Linked DNA regions of Arabidopsis thaliana. The protein of the gene in region 2 interacts with the protein of the main gene of each other region in a biochemical or structural test. Each region holds a gene or a part of one and is shown on either strand. Other genes may lie near its edges.

Evidence for each region. Proteins that work in one complex are often made in the same cells at the same time.
Region 1: of the proteins of SEP4 (region 2) and MPK5, one has a biochemical effect on the other in vitro, tested with the Arabidopsis thaliana proteins (one large-scale study listed by BioGRID).

What each region holds. Positions count from the first base shown.
Region 1 is NC_003075.7:6,889,822-6,893,581, reverse strand, and holds the start of MPK5 (MAP kinase 5), read right to left. Parts: upstream 1,657-3,760; 5' UTR 1,440-1,656; coding exon 1,267-1,439; intron 1,013-1,266; coding exon 883-1,012; intron 813-882; coding exon 675-812; intron 599-674; coding exon 266-598; intron 170-265; coding exon 1-169.
Region 2 is NC_003071.7:1,127,253-1,131,012, forward strand, and holds the start of SEP4 (K-box region and MADS-box transcription factor family protein), read left to right. Parts: upstream 1-2,015; 5' UTR 2,016-2,369; coding exon 2,370-2,554; intron 2,555-3,322; coding exon 3,323-3,404; intron 3,405-3,472; coding exon 3,473-3,534; intron 3,535-3,605; coding exon 3,606-3,705; intron 3,706-3,760. UniProt on the Arabidopsis thaliana protein: Probable transcription factor that binds specifically to the CArG box DNA sequence 5'-CC (A/T)6 GG-3'. Plays an important role in the determination of flower meristem identity. Involved in the specification of sepal identity.

The DNA of each region.
Region 1 (3,760 bases), on a different chromosome or scaffold from region 2:
CTGGATCAAACACGAGCATTTTCTCTAGTAGATCGATAGCTGTAGAATTCATACTAGGAAACCTAGCTGAAAAGTTTTGTCTTGGGAACTTAGGTAGCTCCTTAACATATTTTCTCGCGTTCGCGCTTCTGAGAAACTCTAGACTCGCTCCATCAGGTGATCCTATCAACTACTCAACCACATGAAACAACTCATAAACACATTGCAACACACAAATAAAAGTTTCCAACATTTGTACAGATCTTTCTAAAACAGAACATCATACCTCAGTGATAAGTTTAAGCTGATGAACGTAATCCTTCCCCGGGAAAAGCGGTTCCCTTGTCATAATCTCAGCAAATATGCAACCAACAGACCATACATCAATAGCAGATGTATACTCAGAACTATTAAGAAGCAGCTCTGGTGCTCTGTACCATCGTGTTACAACATACTCTGTCATATACTCTGTTTCTGATGTAGTCCTTGCCAAACCAAAGTCAGTAATCTTAAGATCGCAATTCGAATTCAAAAGCAAATTACTCGGCTTAAGGTCACGATGTAAAACATTTGCTGAATGAATATATTTGAGTCCTCGTAGAATCTGATACAAGAAGTACTGCAAAAGAAGAAAAAGTGAATCACTTGTGATTAAATCAACCATAGTATCAAATATAGCAGAGTAAAAACCGTACCTGACAATGATCATCATTCAAAGATTGGTTTGATCGAATAATCTGATGAAGATCAGTATCCATTAACTCAAAAACTATATAAACATCAACGAAATCTTCCTTCTTTGGTGGTCTAATGATATCTTTTATAACAACAACCTGTACAAGTCAAGACCACATTAGCTAGAAACTCTAATCGTTTACCGCGAAAATAGAGTACAAAACTTACGTTCTCGTGTTCTAAATGACGAAGTAGCTTAATCTCTCTCAATGTTCTCTTTGCATCTACTTTATTATCAAAGGCTTTACCTATCTTCTTTATCGCAATCTCTTCGTGTGTCTCCGAATCTACTGCAGCACTATAACAATAAACCAATACTCTCATGAATCATTTTGCTTATACATAAACACAAACACAAACAAATCATCAAATTCATTCAATTTAAACTATGATTTTGAAGACAGAACCTTTCTTAAATCCAAAAAAGATCAAATTTTGCAAGCAACCCTAATTCAAAAACCTATACCAATACTTAGTTCTTTATCTAATTAGGGTTACAAATACTAAGTAAGAAACAAGAATATGAAATACACAAAAGGGTAGAAGTTGTACCAGACAAAACCGTAAGCTCCTCTACCAATAGGTCGAATAGGAGGAACATACTTATTAGAAACTTCAAACAAGTTTCCATAAACATTGTATTGAAAATATCTTCCTCCATGAACAAGAACTCCTTTGATGTTAGTATCACCTAAATCTGTCGCTGATTCAATTTCCTTCGCCATTTTTTTCAAATATCGAGATAATACAGAAGAAACCCAGAAAATCAAACTTTGAATACAAGATTTTTGGAGATGAGATCGATTCGATTCGTCTCTGCAAAATTAAAATAATGATTTTGTTGAATGTTGAAAACTTTGAAAATCTAAGGAGATAGAGAGAGACGCGTCAGAGGACAACGACTCTTTTTCATTAGTTTGAATATTTTGAATAGGTCAAAACGTATCGTCACATGTCCATCAGCCACGTGTACTTTGTAATAAATACAGATGGGTAAACGTTTGGGCCTGGCCCATCTATTTAATATAGAGAGAGGTATGCTATCAGCTCTGGTCTATGTTATGAGGCCCACGTAATATGAAAGTAAGAGACCTTTTCCTTTTCACCTATCAATACACATCTCTCACTAAAGGAATTCTTCGCAACAGATACTGAGATACAATACAAGTTGGAGTTTAATCTCTCCTCTTCTACTTGATGATTCTCATCCAAAACTACATACTTTCATTCTAAGGTATGTATTCCATATAATCAATTCATACTTTGTGGTGCGAGCGTAATGGTAGACGTCATGGTAACTCTTCTGTTCCTTCGGCCAAGCTTGCAAGTATTATCGACAAGAACGTTAGAAACCGCTCCATCAGCACAATTTGGATCTCGGGAAACTCGGTTTATGAAGAGGGCCTCCACTATTGGTTCCACACCCGTATTCCATAGATTCCTTCAAATGTTATAGTCTCTTCGTTTTCAAACTTTCAACTCAAAGTCACATTCATTATACAATTTTTTTTGGTGAATATCATATTATTCACTTAATATATCAGTAACATCTTATATGTACATATAACAGTTGACATATTAAACCAATATCGAATAGAATGTTATCTTTTACTTAATATATTAATTTATACTATTCACCAAATTGTCATTAAAATTACGTTTTGAACTCTGGAATATCGCGAGTTTACCAATTTACTCATAATCTTCAACTTTTCTATATAAAAAAAAGAAAATTAATATGGATCATATTATACGAGGTTTCTTTTGATAACTTAATCTTTTGAGTCAAATTTACGCAGAACCTAAATATAATTAACTTGTGATGCTCAAACTACAACCCTTAAAATACCCTAAATTGTTCAATATTTTCCTCGTAAAATACCCCATATCTAACTCAAATCACTCGCACTTACACATCAAATATGACTAGGCCGACACAATATAATATATATCCAATAATTACATGTTATTTAATTGGTACGACAATCTCCGACAACGATACCATTACCAATACCAATCTCTTTTAGCCATATTCATGCTAAAAGTGTAGTGGCAGATCCAATTCACTTTTATTATTGATCTTCTCCACTGATTGGCTTAATTTGATGTGGCATTCAATTAGATTAATTAGATCTCCAACATTATCCATGCTTTATAACTCATGACTCACGTGACTGTTTTTTTTCCCTCAAGTTTTGTTTCGTTTATCTTCACAATATTTTTAGATATCCTAAATTGAAAACATAATAGACATGATTGTTGAATTATGTAGGTAAATCTCTCAGTTAGAAATACTGGGTTTGAGGCATGTTGGAAGAGATTTCTTTCCCAAAGGATATGAATTTAATCTGGTGTGGATCCCGCCTCTAGAAAATGTAAGGTCTTTGAGTTTGAATTTCCAGATATTCAAAAAAAATAAAAAAACAAAAAGACAACAACTCTAAGCATAATAATTTACTCAAGTTGATATGTGGTGAACTATTCAATGTGAAACGTTTGCGCTCTATTATTGGTATGCTGTATTATTAGTGTGACGGTATGACACAACGGAACTTCCAATATATATGTTGTACAATTCTAAATTGGATTTTACCGGGGGAAAATATCTTGATCAAGTACGAAATATGAGTGGCTTGAGTGTATTGTATATTTGTATGTATATGGATACTAATAAATAATCTTTGTTCCGTGGGAAAAGATTGTGTAATTTTTGGTTCATAGTAACAAGATTAAGAAATTTAAATCGGAAATTAGTAGGTTTAAATTTAACATGTTCTTTTGGTCGCAAAGGTAAGAATTGACGTAAGAGAATTTAAAAAACAAGGACGTAAGAATTAGATTTTCGTGTTTTGATTTCATTATTGTTGTTTTTAAAGTTAGTCACACAATCACACGAGACTACGTCTGGTTGTGGTCGATCGAAGTATCGAATCGTGAGACTTCTATTAAGATATAGTTATTTTGAAAAATATGAATGTTATATATATTATTGATAAATAAAGTGAAATTTCCGATCGCTTGAATCAATGACAACAGTCACAGGCTG
Region 2 (3,760 bases):
AAGTAAAATGAAAGTAGTGTTTAATACATTAACATGATTTTTCATATTTTTTCTTTTTGATGAAGACATTTAGTTAAGAATGGGATTAATGGGTGATTCAATGCAATGTGATTTTTTTTTTTTTATCACTAAGTTTTGTTATTTTTTAATGATATTAATTTAGAATGACATGTGGCACTCATTGGTGTGATGATGTGTTACTCATATGGAGAGTGTTGGCCAACTTTCATATATATAATTTTATCAGAGATCATTTCTAAACTAGACATTTTAAAGTTGTGTATTATCTACCTAAATTATCCATATAAAAGATGGAATAGCACATTGCAAGTATTATATCGTATTTATTCTTTTTAGATGTTTCCTAAAGCATCAATCTATATGTTGCATGTTGTAAGGTCACAACTTGGAACCATAAAAGAATGGTGGAGGATAGCAAGTGCGTAGAAGATAAGGATCATTTTACATGATAATCTGGATAAGACATGCGCATATACATCAAGTTTCCATCAACAAGATTTATAGTACCCAAAAGAAAGAAAGAAAAAAACTAATATTCCATCGATCTATAGAAGTTGAACAAAATAACTAAGGTACCAAGTGAAATATGAGTCAGCAAGCAAAGTTAAAAAAAAAGTTGTGTGAGACATATCACATGAGTAAATTAACAACAACCATCATCATCATGATGTAGATAGTATAAGATGCCATGAGAAGAAGTGAGGAAAAACAAATTAACCTGACAAGAAGCATCCTAAAAAATTAACCTGTCAAACAATTACCAACCTTTAAAGTGAAAAAAAAAGTTGAAAACACTAAGGCTTTGAGAGCTTAAATGTTCATAAACAATTTTCCTTTTTCTTGCCAAGATCAATCTGCAATTTTTGTGTCAAGCATGTACGAGTTATTGTTATAAATAAATCTAGAGTCGTTATGTGAGTTCTACTGTATTTTATGAAAATCGATTAACTAGTAAAATACATCAGTCTTCTTAAGAAGAGAACCTAAACACGAAACCCTCTAATAAATGCTAGATTGCATATTCTTACACATCTATATTAGTGTCAAAAACATGATTGGACTGATTTTATAGTATTGAACAAGAACGTGACTAAATTTTCAGAAATTGGAAAGAAAACAAAAACATGATATATTTCAATATCTAAATTTCACCATATATATATAAAAAGACATAGTGCATGTGAGACGTAAAAACCTTTGTAAATAAATTTTCTCTTTAAATAGTAAATAGTACCATATCAGATTAACCATTTCAGAGTGACATAATTTGTTTGTAACCGTATAGATCCGTTTTATGCATTAAAACGATCGTGAAGTAGCTGTCATACGAAAGAACTTGTCGGCAAGAGAAGCAAAGCATAAGCAGAAAAAAACATATCTTTTAGAAGCCTATCATTTTCTTACTTTTATTCACAAACACACACAATATACATTATAAGTGTTATCTACATAATCTAAACGTGTCAATACCTGAAAAAACAACAAAACTTTATTTGCACTTCTTTCATTTCATGAACAATACATAACCAGATATTAGATAGGACTTGGACTTGTGAATATGCTCTATTTAAGGCATCTTTATAGGTTATATTTAGAATCTTTTTCTTATTTCTTTTTTGAGCATATTATTAAACTATGGACTAGATCTGATGAAAGAAAGCAATCTATTTATATATTATGGTGTAAATATTATCTTTAAAAAATCCAATGGAGGAGAGTGAAAGAGAAAAGTTGAAGCATTTTGTTTGGACTATAGAGAGAGAGAAAAAAAGATCTTAACTCTCCTTAGAAAAGTACTAGGAATCAATTTTTATTTTCTGCAAAAACAAAAGTGTAAAAGAAAATTAATAATAATATATATTCCCTGATGAAGTAAGACTAAAATAATGTAACTACACAAAAATACTTTTTAGAATTTATAATATTTTATATTAATTTTTAAAAAAGGAAAGTTGATAAGATTGGATATAAGTTTGGAAGCATTTATTTGGCCAAGAATGGCTTAGCATCTCTGCAAAACCAACACAAAGCTATATTCTCTTAAAAATCAGTTCAACAAAAGAAGAACCTGAACACAGTTGGCCCACCACCACCACTACCACAATCTCCTCCTCCACCACCACCACCTAGTCACCGGAAACCAATTCATGCCCTAGATTAAGAACCAGAATCCTTTTGAGACAAGATCTATATATACACTCTACACATTTACTTATACACTTTATCTAGATATAGATGTGTGTGTGTATAAAGGTTCTTTTTCATTACTTGTTGGTTTAGTGATAAAAAGGAGGAGAGTTTTCAGTTGGGTTTTGGTTTCTTGGTGAGAGAAGAGAGAAAAAGAGAGGATGGGAAGAGGGAAAGTTGAGCTGAAGAGGATAGAGAACAAGATCAATAGACAAGTTACTTTTGCAAAGAGAAGAAATGGTTTGCTCAAGAAGGCTTATGAGCTTTCTGTCCTTTGTGATGCTGAGATTGCTCTTCTCATTTTCTCTAACCGTGGCAAGCTCTACGAATTCTGCAGCAGCCCTAGGTGAAAACTCTTTAATCTTTGATATATCTACTTTTTCCCTCAAAGTTTCTATATTTTGATCCATGTTAGGGTTTTGATTCTTAAGGATTATAAAGGATATGAAAACTTTGTTGTCTTTCTTGATTTAGTTACAATTAATTAGTTGATTAACTACGGTTTATTTATTTTGTGAGTTCATACGCATAAATCTGGCTCGTAAAGAGTGAGATTAAGTGAACGATGATCAAAGTACGTACAAAGCGTCTAAGTTGCTCTAGATGATGATTAAAGCTAGAGAGTAGAGACTATGGCTGAAAAAAGTACAGTAGATATGTGTAGAAGCTATAGAGCATATATAAATATAGTTAAAGCTTTTACACATGAGATTGAGTGTTGTTGATATTGTTTCCAAAGGATTGATCAGAGTTTCCAAAGAGACTAAGAATTGACCTCTGGATATATACACAAAGCTGTAAAAGATATAAAAAATACTTTGACTACTTCTTTAAGTTAGTATCTCTCTCAAGTACTACTTATGATCTTATTAAAGTTATAAAGAGACAACTGTGATGATACTCAATTTCACTAGCTACTTATCATTTCCACATAAATTTATTTTATTTTTCTTGCACAAACATCATGAGATTGATACCCATTTTGATGTTCTTGATGTTTTTACATGGAGATGCTTTTAAGGTTTTTTTTCTATATTATTCTCATAATGAAATTTAAAGTTTGGTTTATCAATATATGTTAAAAGTTAAAATGATCATTTGTTTTTATGAAAAGTGGTATGGCGAGGACGGTTGATAAGTATAGAAAACATAGTTATGCAACAATGGATCCAAATCAATCAGCTAAAGACTTGCAGGTACATATCTTCTCTTTCAATCAAAGACTGACCTCAAAGTTGTCCTTAATTTTATTTTAAATTGGCAGGATAAGTATCAAGACTACTTGAAGCTTAAATCAAGAGTTGAGATCCTTCAACATTCACAAAGGTACTTATATATCCTAGTCCATCTAAATGTAACTATATATGCTCTTGTTACTAAATGTTTCTTCTTTTTAGGCATTTGCTAGGTGAAGAGCTATCCGAGATGGATGTGAATGAGCTTGAGCATCTCGAACGCCAAGTAGATGCATCACTAAGACAAATAAGATCTACCAAGGTATATTTCTAAGCTTACAAAATCGACAAATTTTGTTTCGAATCTTTCATCCTAA